Styela clava: one gene and its partner. The protein of the gene in region 1 purifies or fractionates together with the protein of each later gene. This does not show direct contact. Links are inferred from orthologs where the notes say so. Each region holds a gene or a part of one and is shown in the gene's direction. Other genes may lie near its edges.

Evidence for each region.
Region 2: the proteins of DNA replication licensing factor MCM3-like (region 1) and DNA replication complex GINS protein PSF2-like purify together in Drosophila melanogaster (affinity purification with western blotting; 3 studies listed by BioGRID, with this or other methods). This does not show direct contact. The link is inferred for Styela clava from reciprocal best matches to the Drosophila melanogaster genes Mcm3 and Psf2.

Annotation. Positions count from the first base shown.
Region 1 is NC_135257.1:13,037,941-13,048,760, reverse strand, and holds DNA replication licensing factor MCM3-like, read left to right. Parts: upstream 1-5,762; 5' UTR 5,763-5,888; coding exon 5,889-8,324; 3' UTR 8,325-8,525; downstream 8,526-10,820. UniProt on the Drosophila melanogaster protein: Acts as a component of the Mcm2-7 complex (Mcm complex) (Mcm complex) which is the putative replicative helicase essential for 'once per cell cycle' DNA replication initiation and elongation in eukaryotic cells.
Region 2 is NC_135252.1:9,320,834-9,332,354, reverse strand, and holds DNA replication complex GINS protein PSF2-like, read left to right. Parts: upstream 1-6,058; 5' UTR 6,059-6,063; coding exon 6,064-6,200; intron 6,201-6,240; exon of another isoform or gene 6,241-6,518; intron 6,519-6,928; exon of another isoform or gene 6,929-7,022; coding exon of another isoform or gene 7,023-7,075; intron 7,076-7,564; coding exon 7,565-8,129; 3' UTR 8,130-8,425; downstream 8,426-11,521. Other genes in the region: mitogen-activated protein kinase kinase kinase 1-like, read right to left, coding at 570-640, 1,675-1,890, 2,429-2,570, 3,623-3,769; guanylate kinase-like, read right to left, coding at 8,923-9,303, 9,517-9,602, 10,128-10,218, 10,906-11,038, 11,473-11,521. UniProt on the Drosophila melanogaster protein: The GINS complex plays an essential role in the initiation of DNA replication.

The DNA of each region.
Region 1 (10,820 bases):
CTGTTCTCCACCGGGTGTATATCCACTTGAACCACTGGCGACTGCATTAGCAGGCTTGTATTGTTAATTCCAACAAAAACGGGTATTTTGAAATAGTACTCTTTATTTTACGCGTATGTTTCGACAGTATTTCCATATACTGTATATGGGTCGCTGTATACTGTATAGTTTGTGCACCAAGATTGCGCACAGCCTGAACATAGTATTGTAACAGGTTATGGTTCAGGTTGTGCGTCATTATGATGCACAGGTTTGACAAAAAACACTAATACAAATATCGAGCCGTAAAAAAATTGCTCAAGGCTGCAAACTCCACACCCATGTATAAATGATTTGAAATGAGAAAACTTTATGTCTGAAATAAAACTTGGGCCAAAAAGGGCCCCTTATCTGCCGGACTATAAATAGTGGGTCCAACTCTAAAAACGTAAAAAGTGTTTCGGAATTTTTTCAATCCTTTCATTGCACATATCTTTTTGAATCGATTCTCTAACTAACAATTGACAGTGACTATCCGGTTAGGTAAAGTGTAAACTTACGGGTATTTCCCTTATTCGAATATGAAAAAATATTGACATTCCAAGTAACTGATTCCACGCCAGTCCAGTCCTCACATATCAATTAGGCGGCAGCCCCTGTTCACCGATGCCAACTTACCAATAGATCTTGATAAACTTCAGAGCATCCTTACTAAATAACTGAATCAATAATAGATTCATTCCTGGTCTTGTTTTAGTCAGTGAGAGTCATATTGACAAAGAAGGCTACCCTTTATCAAATCATAATGTCATGTGTTGTATTCTATATGATATTGATGAGGGTAAATTGACATTCACGAATGCAGTGATTTTTAACTCTTTGGGATTTGTGGAATACGTTTTATATATATCATAAAGTGCTCGCGAAACACCGGAATTTCAGACTTCAATTTTTTAAAGACAACTTGTTTCAAGGACCACAATGCCCGTGTTTATGTTGTTTATATATATATCGTTTATAATATACTATTATGCTGATGCCATTTTGCAGGGCCTGAGTACTGTAGTAACATTCGAATTTGTATTATGAGACTCCGATAACCCACGCAATGTGCGAAGGAAAATATGTCTCTCGCTTATTTCGCCGTTCATTGGACTGGGGAATAGCGCATTTTGGTTATGTCTGCTGCTTCGGTTATTTCAAGTGTCGAGTTGCCGTTTGCATGAATAACCAGTCTTGGGTCTCTCTTCCAACAAAGAATGTTTCATGGGATTTGATGACATTCTTGAAATACAATTTATCAATTGTGTATTATTGGCTGCCTGCTTTTTTATATATAGATGCCGGATCCAGAAACGAAAACCATTTTTTGATGTTTTTTATAAATTTATTCGTGATGTTCGTGACAACGAGAAAAATATAGCAATGAAAAATGATCAAATCCTGATACACAAAAGAAAATGGCATTTATTTATATAATAGTCAATAAAGTGATTTTTTGCTATTAAATTACATGTTACTGTTTTTCTTTCCATTTTTGCCGATTGATTGTCCTTATATAGTATATACATAAAATGTGACATTTTCCTGTTTTCTTATAACATTATTAGACTACAATTACAAACATTGTGAAAAATTATCTTTTATAACTATATTGCTGATTTAAAAACTGTTTATTTCAATATTCTATTTGCTAAATGATTGTCCTTGGGATTTTTTCAGTTTTCTTATAACATAATTAGACTGCGATTGCAAACATTGTGATCAATTTTATAACTGTATTACCAATATCGTTTATTTCAATATAAGTTTATTTGCTGAAAAAAAAAAAAACTCTTGGGTCTCTCGATCTAACAACCACAGTTAAAAGACAGAACTGTAGAATTTGTTACCATCAACATGTAACGGTTGATGTCCTCTTCCACTATCGAAATGGTACTGTTATTTCAAATGCCAGAATTGTTGAATTTTGATGCGTTTCCGTTCTAAATATGTAATGTTTTGCATGAAATCTTTGAATTGTTGACTATGTTAAATGAATTTTAGGTGCAGTGTTCAAACATTGTTTTTTTCAAAATTGCGTTACTTTGATACTTTCATATATATTAGCGCAACATATAGGTTCTGAAAAAGACCAAGTTATGTATCGTATAATAGGCTATTTTTCCAAGTCAAGTTAATTAAGTTAATTAAACAGTTCTACTGGGAAAGGGAAGTCGTGGGGACCAAAACTGGTCACCGAGCAGCAAAAACCAAGGTTAAATTTCTAATTGGAATTTAGAATCGGGAACCTACTGTTTTTGACGGTGTTATCCAACTACCGTAACATCGCTCACTAGAGGTGGTTGGTTACTAGAGATTGCAATGAACAGTCAAAAAGTCTACTGCTGAACGGGGAGTTTCCGAATCCAGCCGAAAGAATATTACCCTGTTGTTTATTCCGAATTTTCATGCTGGCCATGAACATTGACAAGAATTCGCATTTGGAAATCATATTTGAATTGCTAAATAATATTGCTAAACATATACCTAACTTCAAATTTCCGACTCGGGGTTATGTTTGGTAGCGAGTAAACTCGTTTGATAGTAAGCGCTAAGCAGTGTTGCATGATAATCGTGTTAATATTTATGTTTAATAATTCATGCTCGAACGCTCTTTATGAGTCTTGCCTGACGCAATGAAGTTATTGTGTATTGTCATAAGGCAAACCACACCCTATATCTCGTGTATGGTAGTGTTAACCAAGTTGTCGTTTTTTATACCTACTTTTGTGCATACTAAGGTAGAGACCAGGATGACAGCCCATTTGAACCCACGTACATATGCACTCGTAAACCCCTAGGACATTTGCACCCACCGACACTTGAACCCATACATTTTCATTCATAGATTTACGCACCAGCGGACATTTGACCCCTGTACATCTGCACTCGCGGAAATTTGCACCCATGTACATTTGCACCCATAAACATTTGCATCCACAAACATTTGCATTCATGTACATTTTCACCCATGACATTTGCACCCTGGACATTTGAAGCCGCGGACATTTGCACTCACGTACATTTGCATCCATGGAAATTTGCACCCACAAATATTTGCACCTATGTAGGCCTACATTTGCACTCGTGAACATTTGCACCCATGAACATTTGCACCCTGAACATTGCAAGAACTGATTAAAATTTGTAAACAGATTATACAATGAGTTGTTTTAATGTTTTATTTGAAGTCGCGGACATTTGCACCCACGTACATTTGCACCCGTGGATATTGGCACCCACAGACATTTGCACTCATGTACATTTGCTCCCACAGACATTTGCACCCATGAACATTTGCACCCATGGATATTTGCACTTATGCACATCTGCATTCACAGTCCGGAAGAATCGGGCCCTAACATTGTTTTGAGACATGAAGTTTTTTTTTTATTGTTTAGAAATAATGTCGATGACATAAATAATGATACCCAGGTGGGTGTGGAGTATATAATGTTGAGCAATTTTTTCTAAGCGGATTTCAAGTATTCGTACCAAGATGACGCACATCCTGAATCCTAGCCTGGTACACATACAATGTTCACGTAAAATCGACAAACGTGTATAATGACAAAAGTAAAAAATGTAATTATACACATAAGAATTCATACAAGTGAGAGATTCATAGCAATAGATAAGGAATCGCGAAAGACTGTGACAGTCATCGAGTCAGCGACACCTGTGGGCTGAAGAGGGAATGACAAAAAAATTATACAAATTTAATCAATCAATATTAACAGAAAAACAAAATCGCAACATATCACCAGAGAAACGACTTCGACTCGACAAAAGCAGGATTTTGCAACAAGTTGTTTACAGCAGTGCCCTTCAACCGGTTATACGGTATACCAAAGTGTATACCGGGCTATAAGTTGGGTATACAACTGATAAAGGGTAAACGAAGGGTGTGCAGCCTAGATCAGGGCGAAGAACCGACCTGAGCACATTGTTACATCACGAATTATATAGATAATGCGGTCACGTGTCTGGGTTGGTGATTTCGGCTGCCATGCACTTCGTTTGATTTATGTTGAACATTATTCCCGTTGACGCTGAGGCCGTCAGTCAAATTTATAACTTGATCAAGAGTGATCATTAAATTAACTGATTTTTATTTAAGTTTCCGAAACACAACTGAAAACTAACGAATAGAGTTCAAAAACACAAAAACGAGATAATGTTTAAGACCACGCTTGAAAATCTGTCTGAGTGAGAAAAGTGTCTGAGCGGATGCGAAAAGGGGGCATTGTTACGTCACTTTTTGCATCTTGCTGATTGGCCAATGTCACGAAGTAAACAAGGAAGTCGATGCTCGGGGAAAGGTCCATTGCATGATGAGATTGCAGTAAAATATGTGCTTGAAATTTTATGTTTATTTAGGCCTTAAATGAAAATTGGTATTTGTAAGGTATACCACATTAAAAAAAATAAAAAAGGTTGAAGAACACTGGTTTAAAGCACTTTCTACTCTTTGAATTGTTGCGTCATAAGGATAAGGATAATATATACATATTTATCACGGGGGAGAGGAAAGCCGATAAGACGGCTTATTCATATGGCGAACCACGGCCTCCCGTTCGGTTACCATTCCAAGTCGGTTATGGGATTAGTTATATTGTTTGTTTTCGGTAGCATGGACTTGGTGGTAGAGGAAGCCGTAACCGACCAGCGGTTACGTGAACCACCCAACGACGGCGAGGAGTCCAGCAATCCTCTCGCACATAACCATCCCTGCATGGGATTCGAACCTGCGAACCCACGCAGAGTAATTAGAGGTGCGGTGGCTAGCATATTCCTAACGCTTAGCCCGTTGAGCCACACCGCCGCGCCGCGTCATAATGGTGTCCACACCGATGCGGGTTGTTTTCCCCGATCTGTGTTAATGGATGAAAATCCAAATTGCGTTCGGGTTTGTGGTGGTGAATTCGTCTTCATCACTATTCATTCGCTATTTCGGCGCAAATGGCAATATAACCTCTTTGTCTTAAAAGTGTGGTATCCAAAGGGTGTATATGTTTACTAGTGCAAAATTAAGTAGGATGAAGCGAATATCCGTGGGTGCAAATGTACGCGAGTGCAGTTGTGCGTGGGTGCAAATGTATTGCGGGTTCAAATGTGCGCAGGTGCAAATGCCCGCGGGTGCAAATCTACCGGATGCAAATGTCCGTGAGTGCAAATGTCCATGTGTGCAAATGTCTGTGGGTGCAGATGTACACTGGTTGAAATGTCCGAGAGTGCAAATGTCCATGGATGCAAATGTTCAAGAGTGCAATCTGTATGCGGGTGCAAATGTATGGGTGCAATTGTTCATGAGTTCGAAAATCTGTGGGTGCAAAAGTATGCAGGTACGTGTAATTGTCCTGGGTGCAAATGTACGTGGGTTCAAAGATAATGAAGGCAGAGACCAGATATAGACGATGTACGATCAGATGATTCATCAAATCTAACCTACCGGTAATATTTTTTATGACATCTAAAGCGTAAATAAATACTAATGCGACTGAAGTGATTCGGTAGGCAGCCTGAGCATCAGGCTGCAAGTGGAAAAATTGAGAAACACCGTCTTAATCAGTATACAATTCATATATAGTAATCAATCATTAATATAATATTTTAATTTTACATCAAAACGAACGCAATTTAGAAACCAACGACTAACATATCGAAACAAGGGAGTCAAGGACCCACCGCTGTCGCTGGTTTGCTGCAATAACACGCATCAGCGATTAGAAGTCCACTTTGTTTCCTTATTCTGAAACCCCGCGAAACATGGACACGTGATCTGATCCTGGAAGTCTTGCAAACTCTTCGTTCGTTTTTGCCGTTTTGTTTCTGCGGGGGTATTTTTTGGATTAAATATAGTCAATATGATGGATGTGGACATTGATGAGGAATTACGGGAAGCTGAACGCCAATATTTGGATTTTCTTGATGATGAAGTCACAGACCAAGGTGTGTATTCTGCGTTGGTTAGAGAAATGATTGAGAAGGGAAGATCCCGAATTGTTGTTAACATAAACGATCTCCGGCGACGAAATAATGTGCGAGCTAAAAAGCTTTTGGATAATGGTTTTGATGAGCATGGTGCTTTTCAACGTGCTCTGAAAAATTATGTTGCTTCCATCAACACTGAATATGCAAAGCAACACGAGGAGTTTTTTGTTGGATTTGAGGGAAGTTTTGGGTCAAAGCATGTAACTCCTCGTACCCTAACAGCATTGTATCTTGGTAGCATGATATGCCTTGAAGGCATTGTTACGAAGTGCTCACTTGTTAGACCAAAAGTTGTTCGTAGTGTTCATTATTGCCCCGCTACTAAGAAGACTTTAGAAAGAAGATACACTGATATGACCTCTACAACACCTTTTGTATCAAGTTCTGTGTACCCAACTAAAGACGAAGAAAATAATCCATTAGAAACCGAGTTTGGATTATCAGTTTACAAAGATCACCAGACCTTGACTGTGCAAGAGATGCCTGAAAAAGCTCCAGCGGGACAACTTCCTCGATCGGTGGATATTGTTGTTGACAATGATTTAGTTGATCTCTGTAAGCCTGGTGATCGTGTCCAAGTCCTTGGAATATTTAGATGTCTACCTGGTAAAAAACAAGGCCATACTTCTGGTGTTTTCAGAACTATCTTGATTGCAAATCATGTAAAACCTCTTAGCAAAGAGGTTATACCAATGTTCTCAACCGATGACGTTGTTAAAATAAGGAAATTTGCAAACCAAAAAGGTGCTGACCCATTTGAAATTCTTGCCCATTCTTTAGCTCCCTCTATTCATGGCAATGAATATATCAAAAAAGCTGTGCTCTGTATGTTACTTGGCGGTACAGAAAAGATTTTGCCAAATGGAACAAGACTTCGTGGTGATATAAATGTTTTGCTGATAGGTGATCCAAGCACAGCCAAATCACAAATGTTGAGATATATTTTGCATACAGCACCACGAGCTATAACAACTACTGGTCGAGGAACAACTGGTGTTGGATTAACTGCTGCAGTGACTTCAGATGAAGAAACTGGAGAACGCAGACTTGAAGCTGGTGCTATGGTATTAGCTGATCGTGGAGTTGTATGTATTGATGAATTCGATAAAATGAGTGACATAGATCGTACCGCAATTCATGAAGTAATGGAACAAGGAAGAGTCACTGTGGCAAAAGCTGGCATTCATGCAAAGTTAAATGCTCGATGTAGCGTGTTAGCTGCAGCGAATCCTGTTTATGGTAGATATGACCAGTATAAGACTCCTATGGATAACATTGGAATGCAGGATTCTTTATTGTCTAGATTTGACTTGCTTTTTATCGTTCTTGATCAAATGGACCCAGAAAATGATCAAAGAATATCAGATCATGTGCTTAGAATGCATCAATATCGTGCAACAAATGAACAAGATGGCGACCCAATGCCAATATCGATTGGTGCAGATATTTTGTCCACAGATGATCCAGACTGCGAACAGAACAAAGATCAAGAAACGCCAGTATATGAAAAACATAATAAATTGCTGCATCGTGGATCTGGCAAAAAATCTAAAATGGTGAGTATTGCCTTTATGAAGAGATATGTTCATGTGGCAAAAATTATAAAGCCTACTTTGACAAGAGAGGCTGCGGAATGTATTGCAGAAGAATACACCAAACTCAGATGTCAAGATCAAGAGAATAGTGATGTAGCCAGAACCACACCAGTCACTGCTCGTACTCTTGAAACTTTAATTCGTCTTTCAACTGCGCATGCCAAAGCACGTTTGTCCAAGAAAGTAACTTTGAAAGATGCTCATTCTGCTATTGAGCTTGTGCAATATGCTTATTTTCATAAAGTGATGGAAAAAGAAAAGAAGAGGCGAAGAAAGACTCACGATAGCGACAGTGAAGATGAAGTCATTGAAAGTCAAAATACCTCAGTCCGCAAGAGGAGAAAGCGTGGGGATGGGAATGAAACCACTGGAGATCCAAATGACCCATATAATTTTGATTCGGCCGAAGAAGACACACCTGATGTCAGTGCTGTGGGTCGTCCTTCGCAACAACAGTCAACTGTTGATGTTTCAATGGAAGACAGTGAGCGTTCCACAACTGCTATTGATGAACAGAAGATGAATAAATTCAAGAAGTCACTTTTTGCCAAATTTGAAGTTGAACACACACAAAGCCTGCCCACAGCTGCCATTGTTGAATGGGTCAACAAGGATAGTCAGGAGTTTTCCAAGGACGATGTTGACACCTGTCTTTCACAAATGCAAGACAGCAATCAAGTGATGTATACGGATGACACTGTATTCCTCATTTAAAATCCAGGAGAATACATTCAATTTCCAGAATGTGTACATCAATGAACATATTGAACCTCAGAAACAAGAGACAATTTACCATTTCTTTTTACTTTATATGCCATCATGTTTGCTTTCTGCTGTTGAATTTGTTATCCATAGCTCTTTCGTAAATGTTCCAAATGTAAATCTGTACAGATAGTTTTGTTATTGTGAAACTTATACGCAGTGCTTGATTGGTTCCATTATGAGATTAGTTCAGCAAATGAGCAGGCAAGAAAAAAAATTAGTTTTTTGCAATGTCCTCCACGCTGTTGTAGGTTTTTACCCAAGATTCTATAACATGTTGCATAATGCTAGATTACTTAATAGCAGTCAGTGTCAGGCAACCACTTTCATCAAGGCGTACTACAGGCAAGTCCACTGGTCTTGTCCATCTGTATGCCATTAGATGAAGTGCATTGTAGCAAATTACAAATTCTCGACTTGTCAGAAACTTGTTTGCTAGTTCTATAACTGGGATTTGGGCCCAATGGGAATGCGCTGATACTCAGCCTATACTTGCGATTGGTGCCAGCCAAGATATTTGTTCACCAAAGACGTTTGTCTAATAATTCGTAAGGCCAGTGTTACGTAACAGTTGGCATTTGAAAGATTAATCGTGAATTAATAAAAATGTCCCACAAATAATTACCTCAGTATATATGTTCCGCCATTTTATTAAAGTAATGCAGCATGAAAAGTACACAAAAACCGCACGAATGAATATAGCAATAAAATCAATTAGATACAGATGTCAGTCAATATCATTCCATAAGCACATAATGCTAACATTTGCAGTTCAGGCAAAAAAATCCAAGCCCCACTTCTGATCTTAAAAAGGCAAAACCTACTAAAATCTGAATAATGTCATGACATACTGCAAAATATTAAGTGAAACAGTATATAGATAGCAATTAATTCACTATAAGCATATTAACTACAAATAGAATAAGAGTTGAAACATCATACTAAATATCAAAGTAAAACTAAATAAGCACAAGGGCATATAACATAGTCTTAAATACAATTTGAGACACGTTTCTATTATTATATGCAGAATTCTATATAGTTCACAGCTGATAGTTCTCATGGATTTGGTACTATTTGCTGTACAGGTTTATAATTTCATTATGCTTGTGTTGTACTGATATACGAAACAGGGAAACAGAACTTGAAACAAAGGGGAGCACAACTCTAATTAAAACAACGCACGACATGACTGATACAATATTTTGAATGAATTTGTGCATGATAAGACTATTGAATAAAGATTTGTCCTACATTGCCAGCATGAAGACAGATAAATTATGGGACGGTGTCAATATCGGATTTCACCAAACAACATCGTATTTCTGAATGCTTTGATCAGTTACGACTACTGGATAGTTGACAAAACAAGCAAATGTTAGAATATTTGAAAGACGTTAAGCATTTAAAAATTCTAACAAAATATCCAGGGGTCCGATTGCTTTGATGTTATCAATATTTCCAGACTGACTAAACTGAGACAATATAACTTAGACCCATTTAAACAGAAAAAAATCATGTCATGTTTCAGGTGACAAAATTAACTCACCTATGTTAACCAGCAAGACACTAAATGGGTAATAATATATTTTATTTTACCAATATATCTGAATAATATAGTATATACCCTTTTTTCAATTCTCAATATTATTTTGTGCATCAAGATTAGAAATGAAATCAGAACAGACCCACAACAACATATTTGACAATTAAAATTATTGTACAATCTATCACCAATACCTAATCAGTCACATGGAAATCCATAAAATATATAACCAGGAAGCTGTAAAAGTAATTCATATAGTTCCAGGATGTAAAACACAAAATTTACTGTGCTTATCTACAGAGTTTGATTGATAAAAGCAAAGTATTTGATATTGAATGCAAGAAAACAAACCTGTGAATTATTGTATCACCTCGATTAAAATGAATTGATCCCCAATGGATGTAAAAGTCTGTCACCATAAGCTAGTGTAGTTTACCCGGGGTATCGAGAGGTTACGCGAGTTACTATTTAAATCCAGGAGTTTGTATTAAATGATGTATAATTATAATCAAATACCTTTAGTATTTGAAAACATTGTTAAACTGGTTGCCCTTTAAGGTCAATTTCATTTTGCCAGTATTAGGTTTGCTTTTATATACATAGAGTATATTACCATACGGATAATGAAAGAATTAATTGAACTATTGCACAGGGGTTTTGCTAAGTCTAAAAGGTTGAAAACCACTGGCTCACACAGATGTAAGCATGTTTGGCAGACAGCTTTCACACCTCTGATATAGACGACAAAATTTTAAGACATTTTTAAGGGGGCATTCGGATCAATAAAAAATTCAGTAGTTATGAATTTATAATCATGTTGCAATAAAAGGGTTTGTTGTAACATCATGGAAATACATTGAACCGGTTGCACCACTCTGCGGACCTTCACCTAAACGCACCAG
Region 2 (11,521 bases), on another chromosome or scaffold:
CAAATATTTTCAAATAAAAATATTAGAACAATGCTGTAAAATATACCTTATTAAATTGAAAAAACGACATTTTACCTTTTTGGTATGATTTGTTGTCGCAATAAATTTCATGTTTAATAGATTTGGGTTATTGCCAAAATATATTTCATATATAATACATTGCATGCCCATCACGGAAAAGTTATTTTTAATTCAGACAAAAGCTTACACTTTACTACCATTGTCCAACGTAAATAATCCCAACTGAAAGAAGAGGACAAAAATATGCCACTGCCATTTCAATTACAGAAAGGAATGATGAATTGTAAAACTAAATAGTTTTGTCAGTGTTAGTTTATTGATGGTGAAGCAATTTAAATGTAGGGTAGATGCACACATAATGTTTCAATATTGAGTAGTTATTATAATATAAATAAATGTATAATTAGATTATTAAAAAAATTCTGTGCCTGAGTTACTTGCCTGATAGCACCTAAAACACACATTATAAATTAACATGTCTCTATAATCAAATAATCAAAAGTGCCATTTCCATTTAATAACCTTATTAGAAAATTAGAGCCACTTACCATAGGCCCCTTTCCTCTTATTTGGTTGAGTATATTTTCATTTTCAGTGTCATTAGAAGGTGGTGGTTTTACTGTAAATGAAGATGTACAGATAAAATTGAAATATTACTAGTTTATGCCTTCCAGGCTGTCTATAAGTTGAGTAAGTTAAAGCAAAGCCATGTTTCTCATAATTCTATTACTCCAATTTCAATATAAAACAAAATTGCTAAAAGCCAATAAAATCGAAAATTTGCATTTCAAAAGATGATGTTTCCTGGAACAATGTACGGTTTTAATGTTTGCATAATAATATAGAACATAAAGAATTTCCTTTTTGATTATTTTCACACACCTCACACATGCTGAGAATCAGAACACCCACATAAAACTAAATATAGCCATTTAATAAAAAGTAGTGGCAAACATAACAGACCATACCTTATATAGTATCATAAGGCAAATAGAACATTCTAAATCAATTGTTCTTGATTTTTTGAATGTTGTTTCACTAATATTATTGTTTACCATATGTCTCAAAAATTTAGTTACCAGTAAATGAAACTTGAAATTAATTTTATTCAAAAGGTTGGTATAACAAAAAAAGTGCCATCGATATTTTTTTAAATTAGACATGTCATAGTGAAAATAGGATTATTAATGTCAAATTTAGCATGTATCATGGTTCTACTATAAAATAGATCTAGTTCATTTACGAATAAAATTAATCGTAAAAGCAGAATTATACATTACAAAAATATTTTAATATAGAAATCCCAATCAGTACCAGATTATTATTAAAATATTTTATTCACCTACCATTTATATCAACTATTATTAAGGACTACTAAGCAATCCCTATTCAAATGAGTCATAAGTAGAAGTGGCAACCAACACAAGTTCATGAAAAAATCAGTTATCTTACATTACTGATGGAAAAAGTGGTAGAATAACATTGTTCGATGAAATATTCTAACAATTTTAGTCAATGGTTTTCATTATATGTACATATGACCTGTAATTAAGAATTCTCACTACTTTTATTTTTTGTTGGACTACAAACAAAAATTTGATGAATCATCGATGTTTTTATCATATTTAAAGACAAAACAAAGTTGATATTTACCATGATCTCTCACTCTGTATGTCATAGCCCCACGATGGATAGGCCGTCTAATGTGTTGTTTTTTCAATTTCTCTCTGATATCGGATTCCTCAATGTGCTGTTCTAACCGCAATGTGGGAGGAACAGAAGCGTTTTCATCTTGATCTTTTTCTGCAGCCTTGGCATCATTATTTGATTCTGCCACACTTGTTCCAGTATTGTCTGATGAGTTATGCTCTACAAAATAATATAAATTGCAAAAGTGGACTTTTTATAATTTTTTGGTGCCGACAATATTAACAATTTTATTATTAATAATTGTTGACAGTGCATATTTTTGGGAGCCTACATTATTAAAATAAATTCAATACAACATGGCAAAATAAGATGTTAGTGCTCTTTCAGCATCCTAGACATTATAATAGTAGATCAACTGAAGTGTTAAATAAATGCTATGAAGAAAATTGGCGATTCGTGAGAATCTCAATGATATGGTCTACTATTTTATCAATGTTAAATGCTTCATTTGTGGTTGAAAATAAAGAAAATAATGCCTGATTGTTTACAGTATGATTTTATTACAGCTCTTGCTGCAAAACGGAACATGAAAATTGTTTTAGTTAATCATGGTGTGGAAATTGTGTCTAGTAGATGCCTGTCTCGCACTTTATTGAATAATATTTTTCAAATCAGAGAGAGTTGTTTACATGGTTCTTCAATAGAGTCAAATGACAGGTAGGCCCAATAGGTTGATAAACACAATAAATCAACGCACCCTGGCGTCTAGAGTTCCCAGATCTCATTTCTTTACCAATCACGCTGTTCAATAAATTTCTTGCTGATGGAGGAGCAATATGTCTCGGTGGGTGATGTTTCTTCTCTGGACTGCTGGAACTTTGTACTGGAATGCCAGTTTTCTAAATAAATAATAAAACTTAGAAAACTGAATCAATTAACACAAGAATTAAGGAATATTTCCAATAAGGTTTACAAAAAAAAAAAAAAAATTTAAAGGTCTAAAGTAGACAGACAAATATGGTTTATTAGATATCCATATTCATATCTTCAGCCGTAATTTATAAGAATTATACTACCAGTGATTATCCCTGGGTTTTGGTCCACTAAAAATAAGATTGAAATGACAAGATAAACAATAAAATGGATGTCAATCTCAAAAGATATATATTATGTTCAAATAAATTTGCTCGCCTTTTCGAATCCTTTTAATACCGGAAAAGATTGATCAACTCAACACTAAATTGTTCAAATTAAATTTCTATTTATGGAAAAACTATTTATAAATAGAATCTTCTAATAAGTAGTATGTAATTCAGTTTATATTCAATATGAGCAAGAATTATATGAAAAAATCTCAAACACATAGATCATGGAGGTAAAGGGGTACACAGGTTTGTATCAGAGCCCCAAGTTGATTCTTACTAAGCACAATTTGGAGTGGTTCAAACAGAAAATAATTTTACCAAATTGCAAAATTACGATCTAGAACTATTTCCTCCTGGGATAAGAAAACCATATACTGGGAAGCATAATAGTTAAAAACAATGATATGTTTATCCCTTATTAAGTATATTTATATTCAAAATAATTACGGTACTTTATTTATAGTGAATGGATTATTTGTATCAAATTTTTCAAAAATCCAACCTATTTCATGAAGAAACAATTTTAGATACCAAATCAAATCACAATAAATTGTACGGCCATACGGACGTCATTAGCATGACAGAGACAGACAAGTGATAAGTCCATTCATAGTCAAGAACTAATCCTTCACTTCCAATGGTAATCCTCTTAGTAACACTAGATTTTCACCTACCCAATGTGAAGATTTTTTCCAATCTATAATGTAGTAGGCCTAATGGTTTCAGTGAGAGCTTTCTATGTGCAAACCTAGAAAATGGAAAATTAAAGTGCCATATTTGTGCAAAATACAAGCACATTTTCTCACCGGTCTAGCACTATGGTGAGGTTGACTGGTACGTCCTGCCTGTTTGCTTACAAATTGTTTCCTCATCATTTCCAATCTACTTCGTGGATGTCCATTTCCTGTGGTGTTTGATGTAAAATTGTTGTTTGCTGAGTCCGTAGTATCCATTATAGGAAGCAAGAGTAATTGGTAGAAATTTTTGAAATGTTAAAATTTATGTTACACCATCCTTCAAAAGTCTTTTAAGATTTATTAGGTCATTCTATCTACATACTTAATCACAGGCTGTAGATAGAAAATAAAAGTATAAAAAAAATTGAACTAATCCAGATTTTGATATTCTTTACTGAATATGAACTTTTGAACTCAGAATATAAGAGACATAAATGATATCAATATGACACCTCATATAGTATTCCAATTATGTTCAAGCAATAGTTGCCTTTTTCTGAATATGTTACTGTACGGCACAGTTCTCAAATTCCAAGAATATCCCCTACAGTAAAAGACATCAATTTTGACAGTGAGTGCGAAATCCTTCTTTAGGAGGCAGTCTGGGGTTTCATATTGGCACAAATCAGCAAACCGCAACATAAAATTGGATTCCTCTGATGAAATATTCTGATTTACAGAATGAAAATATTTTTACCAAAACTGAAAAGGCACGTCACAATTGATTTAAATTATCATCGAAACATGCATGGCGTGATCTGGTGCATCAGATGCACTCGCTTTCAAGACATATAGAGTATTTGTTTTCTTGAAATTGAAGAACTATTCCCTACTTTGCTTTGAATCATATATTTATTAACATATATTTAAAACTTTCCTAAATATTTCCAAAATCAATAATTTAATGTATCAAATATTACTTTAATGTATGAAATATTACAAAAAATTTCATTCGCGAGAGACAACTACGAATTCAAAAAGCACTACTCAACTGTACCAACTAAACTAGAAATTATAACTTAAAGTGAAATGAGTTCAAATAAATTAATTGGCTATTAATTGGCTACCTACATTATTAACATGCTCGCCTATCTAATTAACTTCCAAGAATCCAAGACACTCTACAAACTATAAGTGAGGTGTTTAAATGTTTTAATTAATGATTACTGCATAAATATACAGACAAGTGATACGGCAATACACAAAAGGGATAAAAGTGAATAATCTTGAAGACTATGTGAACAAAACCATGAAACAATATATCAGTAGAGCACAGTGCTCCTATTCCAAGATATCCCGACATTTGGTTCCATAAAACGAACACTGTATTTGTCTTTGAAACGATGGTGTTTGGTACGTCGCAAATTGCGTAGATGCTTCTCCTGATAATAATTTAAATCAATCGCGACGTGTGTCGGCCTTCATGTGACCAAATTTTGACAAAACCTATTGAATGCTGTGATAAAATTCTTTTTCTTCTGTAAATCAAATTATATTTTCCGAGGAATCCAAGAGTGTCATTTTTAAATGTTGCTTTCCTTGAGTTTATTGCGCAGTTGATTTGTAGCGATATGGTGTCCCAGACGTAAAGTAGTTTTCGCTATTATAATTGATGTCTCATATTGTGAGGGCTATTCTTGGAAATCGAAGAACTGTGCCATACTGTATATAGATATCATAAACCGTAGCAGTAGACTACCGTAGTATAGAAATATCACAAACTGACAAACAAAATAAACTAAGAGCTATATATCCAGATATCTGTATGTTAACTAACCCACAGCTACATTTAGACATGGGTCATACGTTCTTGATTTGTGATTGGTATGGTACGGTACTGTACCTGTAATGCTTGCTCAATTTAACAATAATCTCTCTAATCATAATACTGTTTTTTTAATTGGCTCACTCAATGAGTGATTTTAATGAATATGCAAAAAATAAATAAATGTACAAAATAAAATAAGTCCATACTCCATTTTGAGTTCATAATCCATTTGTTGAAAATGAGAAAATAAATAATAATTCTAATGATATAATACAATAAAAAAGAAAAAAAAAAAAACTTAGCAAATGTATTATAGTCTACAATGTATTGTACATCTAATTGCTTCACATAAATTCTGCAATTTAATATCAGGTGTTTTATTTTCAAATACTGAATCCAATAACTGAATAATACTGCATAATCCAAATTTTATATCGAACTATTGATAACAAAAGAATAATTGCAATAAAATCTACACTACTTATATAACTAATACTGTTATTGTCCTTTTCTCCAATCTCAATGTAAATTCGAGGGAAACCGTAAGGGACGCCCCCCCCCCCCTAAAAAAGCTGGCAGAGCGACAGGCAAACATCATCTGAGTGTGGCGAGAGCTGAATGGCCATGTTGTTGGGTTTTTTTCACCGAGCTTTGTTGTTTTCACAACAAAAATGTTGTTCTGTGCTGCTATCTGGCGGCGAAAAAAGTAAAATTTGTTTATTGTCAGTATGGATTGGAATGGATGAAAACAGTTCATACCTCAATGGTTGCGACGCGGGATTTTCAGGATATTTTACGAGTGGTTAGGGACAAACCTGTGCCGGTATCTCAGTATGTATGTATGGATGTTTATTCGTCTCGTAAAAGCAATATAAAAGAGTAAGTACTTATAAATACTGAAGACGGGATGTATGCACAAGACCATATTGGCCTAAAACACAGATGTGCGGCATACACCCCTTTGATTTATATAAATTATAATAGGGTAAATCAAATATGTACAATATGGTCCTTTATACAGGCAGTTGTGCGAGGAGGGTGGGTGGATGCGGTAACAGGGATATGGGTGGAGTGTACAAAACTGTTTGTACAAAGGAGTTTGTTAGACAAAACAACATCTATAAATAGTATCTGTCTGTCTTGGCCAGGGCGGGAGCAGGAATCAGGAAGGAGAGAAGTTTTACTTTGCAAACTATGGTACAATTTGATTTCACGAACTCTAACGTGTGATAAATACCGGTACAGAAATATAAAACAGTGGCATTGAAATCCTGTAAATTGTACCATTGGTCAAAAATCCTATACCTGTAGGCTATACGGAGATACCGTAAAATTTGATTTGATTGAGATCTGCCGAAATAGTTTACCGTACCGGTACTGGAGGATGCAGATATGCCTAGTTAAAAATCTTTTCATAAACTGCTGCATTGATCTGCTTACAGCTGTACAAAAAGCAGTTTCTACTTGAGGGCCTGGCCCCTGCAACGTCACACTGAAGAGAGAGATTTTTTAGTCATAATAATAAATCAAAAAAGAGCAGAAAACTATAAGCAAAATAATCCGAAGTACACTATACAGCTATATAGAGAATTTTACTAAACAGATACCAATATCAGATTAATAATTAATAGCATACCCATTAATTTAATAAAATTTTGAGGTCACCACAAGTATGAATTACTGACTCAATTTTATCCGAATATGAAATTGTGGCGTTGCTGTTTCTCTTGTTTTTCATTTACATCAAATGAAAAGTAAGTTTACTGTAACCCAACCAATATCATTATACATTAGTACCACAAACAGGTAATAACTACTCATGAGAACAATTTGCAATTAAAAACTATAATGTGATCAAAAGTGATCATCTCAAAAGCTGCAAATAGTATTTTTTAATAGCATACTGTGACGATGGATTGAGACAGCAGAATCATATAGCCAGCCACAGTTTCGCCTCTGTCTTTTTCATCTCTTGGAGTAGCAATCTATTTCATATATAATGGGGATGTAGGTAGCTGTAACTTATGTATGTGAATCACCTTATGAGTTATGCCACACACAATCATCTGCCAAAATCATCGAAAGTTTTATCCCCCATTATTTCGATTAAGTTTTATAATTGCATCTATTCTAATTATGTTTAGAATATTCTGATCAATTATCATTGTTAATTCTCCCCAATCTCTCATCTAAAATCAGCCATTCCCGGATGATTAACTCTCTTGATTATTGTAATTCAACAGCATCTTAATCATGGATCATGTGGATATTGAATTTCTTGCTGAAAGAGAACATGTATCAATCATTCCCAAGTTCAATTCTGACAAAATGTTTTTGATATCGGGTGAAGTTGGACCATTTAATGTCGGTGTTCCTACAGAAGTTCCAATTTGGTTGGCAATTAATTTGAAACAGAGAAATGAATGTCAGATTCAACGCCCTACTTGGATGGAACTTGCCACATTGGAAACAATGAAGGAAGATGAAAGCAATAGCGAACTCTTTACTCCTCTACCTAGTCCTTACTTCCAGGAAATTTCCCATATTTTACTAAATCAAGCAACTGATAATATACCCCACGCTGATGGTATAAGGACTATTATTAAAGACATTTTGGATATAAGAGTTGCTAAGTTAAGAAGCAGCATAGATAAATTTGTAAAACTGAAAGCTACTTATGCCAAGCTGGATAATTTGTCACAGATGGAAATAAATACAGTTAGGGCTTTTCTAACAACTGCACTAGATCATATGCGTAACCTTGACAAGACTGAGAAATTGACAGAACAGTATGCTTCTGTGAACTAATATAAGTTTCTCGACAGCCTTCTTGACATTTCTAGTCAACAGTGGATGGAGTTGGACAGAGAGTCTGGAATACGGAAAAATGGGCATTCACCCTCCTGGATAACATAAAAATTCATCTCATCTTTATGGGATGCATGTGCCTATGTCAGGGATCAATATATCGTTTTATGTTCTGCCAACGTTAACAATGACATACACATTTTCATGCAGAATTTTTGTATTGAACAGTATTACAAAAGATTGTCACAATGCACAATTTTTAAAACTGAAATAAAACACATGAAGCACCAACCAAATTCGCATACAGAGAGACTAGGGTCTTTAGATTCGAATTGATTAGTCTAATAATGGTTATGGTTTTGCATATAGTAATTCGATAAAAGGTGGAACTAGCCTTGTTGCATAAATGTGTTTTGGCCTCATGATTGAGGAGCAAGGAAACGACTAGTTTGGATAACTGAAAAAGAGGTTTTGGCTACTGCTAGACTTGTTATTATCAGCCTTATTTAACTTTTCAGCTCTTACAGTGATTACCAAAACATCATGATCGTGTACCAAGCTTTTCATGCGATACTAAAATGATAACAAAATTTACAGAAATCAGACAGCAGAAGATAAAAAATAAAATTCTCACACTCATGATAAACTATTGTGGCATGCAGTGCACGAGTAAAAGAAAATCTAAACTAAAACTTAAAACATATTTACTACATTTATGATAAATAATATGAAACTTGCTGCAGAGGCTTCATGAATAAAAAATAAACCAATTATTTCTATATAAACTTCGTCGTCAAGAAATAGAACACCAAGACTGTCGACCACAGACTCCATCAGAAGGGAGAGTTGTTTCGGACTCTTCGAGTGTGACAACTGCAGGTGAATCGCTCTCGCTTAAATTCACATCGGAGATTTCATTAACAAGTAGCAATGGAGTTTCCCCAACATTAACGACTGCAGGATTCTCTTGGTCAGAAGTAGTTCTTGTAGGGCTTAAAGGTATTTCTGCCACACTACTTTCCAATTTAATTTCTGAAAATCCATTACAAACGTTTCTTCCAGCATCTCCCGCTTCCAATTTTGATGCTTGTTCTAACATTCCGACACTTGCAGCGAGCGGCAACTCATCGTTTGAATTGTATCTCTTGCTCTTTTCCAATAAGTTCGGACATGTCTATTGTATTTTGGAAAAATGCTGTGAAACATGTAATGCTATTCATCACAGATTAGTTTGAATGGTTGAACTGAAATTAGCAAGATGTGGCTGCTAAATTTTGTGCAATGCAAATGTAACATATTAACCCAATATTTCTGCAACTAAGTGGCTGTTAAGTGAATATTACTATATTGCTGATACTGAAAAACTATAATACAAACTTGATCTCACCTGCTTCATAAAACTTAGGAGATTGATATATGATTGATTCAGATCACCATTTTCCAAGACAAAGTCATAAACACCAGGTTTTTCGCCTATGAATAAAATATGATATGCAAATTAGCACCCAATACTGCGGTGGTATTCAGTCCATTTCTCATAAGGATTTAATATACTAAGCATTTGCTTTAAGGTGTCCATTTCTATAAATATTTTATTTGTCTTTTGTGACCTTTATATTAAATAAACAGCAATTTAACGCCACCCTCCTTCCACAGGCTGGCTGCAATAAAATAATATTTGTCTAACATGGTAACCTGTTATGGTAAAGGTAGTTTCATGCATTTAATTGTATTAATTCATGAATATTGTGTGAATGTGTGTACACTACCTAAGTCTACTTATTAAGGTAACCCCAAAATAAGAATCAATTTTAAAAAAATACAGTGTCATGAAACGTTCATGGTATCTGTAAGTCAAAGTTGCGCAAGAGCAACGTTGCAGTTTGAATGCATATCCATTGAGTATAAAGTCAATAAATATTAAACGTTCAAAACAATAAAACAGCTCCAGACAATGTATGACTTTAAAAATAAATAAAACGATGGGAATTTACTCACTGAATGAAATTGATGATTCGGCAGTGCTCATTCTTCTTTCTAGACTTTCTTGCGTTTCAGTACCTCTTGATGTCAATCTTCTTCGAAGTTCCTTGAATAGTTTTATATATTTTATTAAATATTGGTATCAACAAGAACATGAGTGAGCTCATGGACATGGTGTTTGCCAAACGAACATTTTACTACTTACTAATTCTGACATATTCAAACTACGGTAATATTTTCACATTGGGAATCTCTAATATTTTCTAAATTAATCCTGTTCAACAGAAAAATTTACAGAAATTATTGTCATTTCTAGTGCAAAATAACAGTTTTTATTTTTTAGTATCCATAACATTTGCTTTTTTCGATAACCAGATCTCAAATACTATATTTAATTTATTTGGACCATTCTGATTTAAGTTAGAGAAATTTTCTTGCCACATCAACTTGGCCAGGCCAGACATGCTAACAATTAAGACACTGATTACATCAATATTTCAGGTAGTATTGTTATTTTGAAATCTCAATCTGAGAAGTGCTCAGTTGGGCAAGGTCCGCTTATATGCAAATCTTTTATAAATTCACCGTTTTATGGGGTCGGCTTATATGTGAAATATACGGTAACCTGGAACTATACCATTCAATAGAGATATAGAAAGTTAGTCATCAGGTTTACTGATGTAAGTAAAACAATATATTATGATGTAGTAAATGAACCTTTTATGTTTCAGTAGTAATTCACATTCAGTTTTAATGGATTTTAAATAGTAAATTTACTAAAATCTGAACTCACATCCATAGAGGGTGGCTTGATGAATATAAAGACTGCATTAATATCACTTTCTTTAATATTTCGCACCCCTTGTTCATCAATGTCCAATATACATATTTTGTTTGTGTCAAGTACTTCTTTGATTGCAGATTTACTGTTATAACAAAATAGTCAGTTTTATTCACCCAGTGATTAATGCTATTAGGAACTTGGGTGTGGTGATTTTTATAGAATTACAAAATGTCTCTCTTTACTGATCAAATGCCTATGCATTGCCACATGCCATTACAATACATTTATGGAACCGATCGAATGACATGATAAACCCATAATACACATACTGTAAAATAGCATTTTAAATTTATTTCGTATAATGTAAACCTTCATAGGTTTATGTGAAAGTTTGATTATACTTCTAAAGTTACATAAGTGAAATATATCTATTTATACAAACTATATAATCTATCTATACCATCTTTATAGTATTAACACAGTAATACTACAAACATTATTGCTATATTCTCTATTAAATTATATGATTTCAATACCAAATATGCCAGTTGTTTCAATACATGCAAAGTTATATACCTTGTGCCATAATAATTGCCTGAAAAATTTGTATATTCAACAAACAATC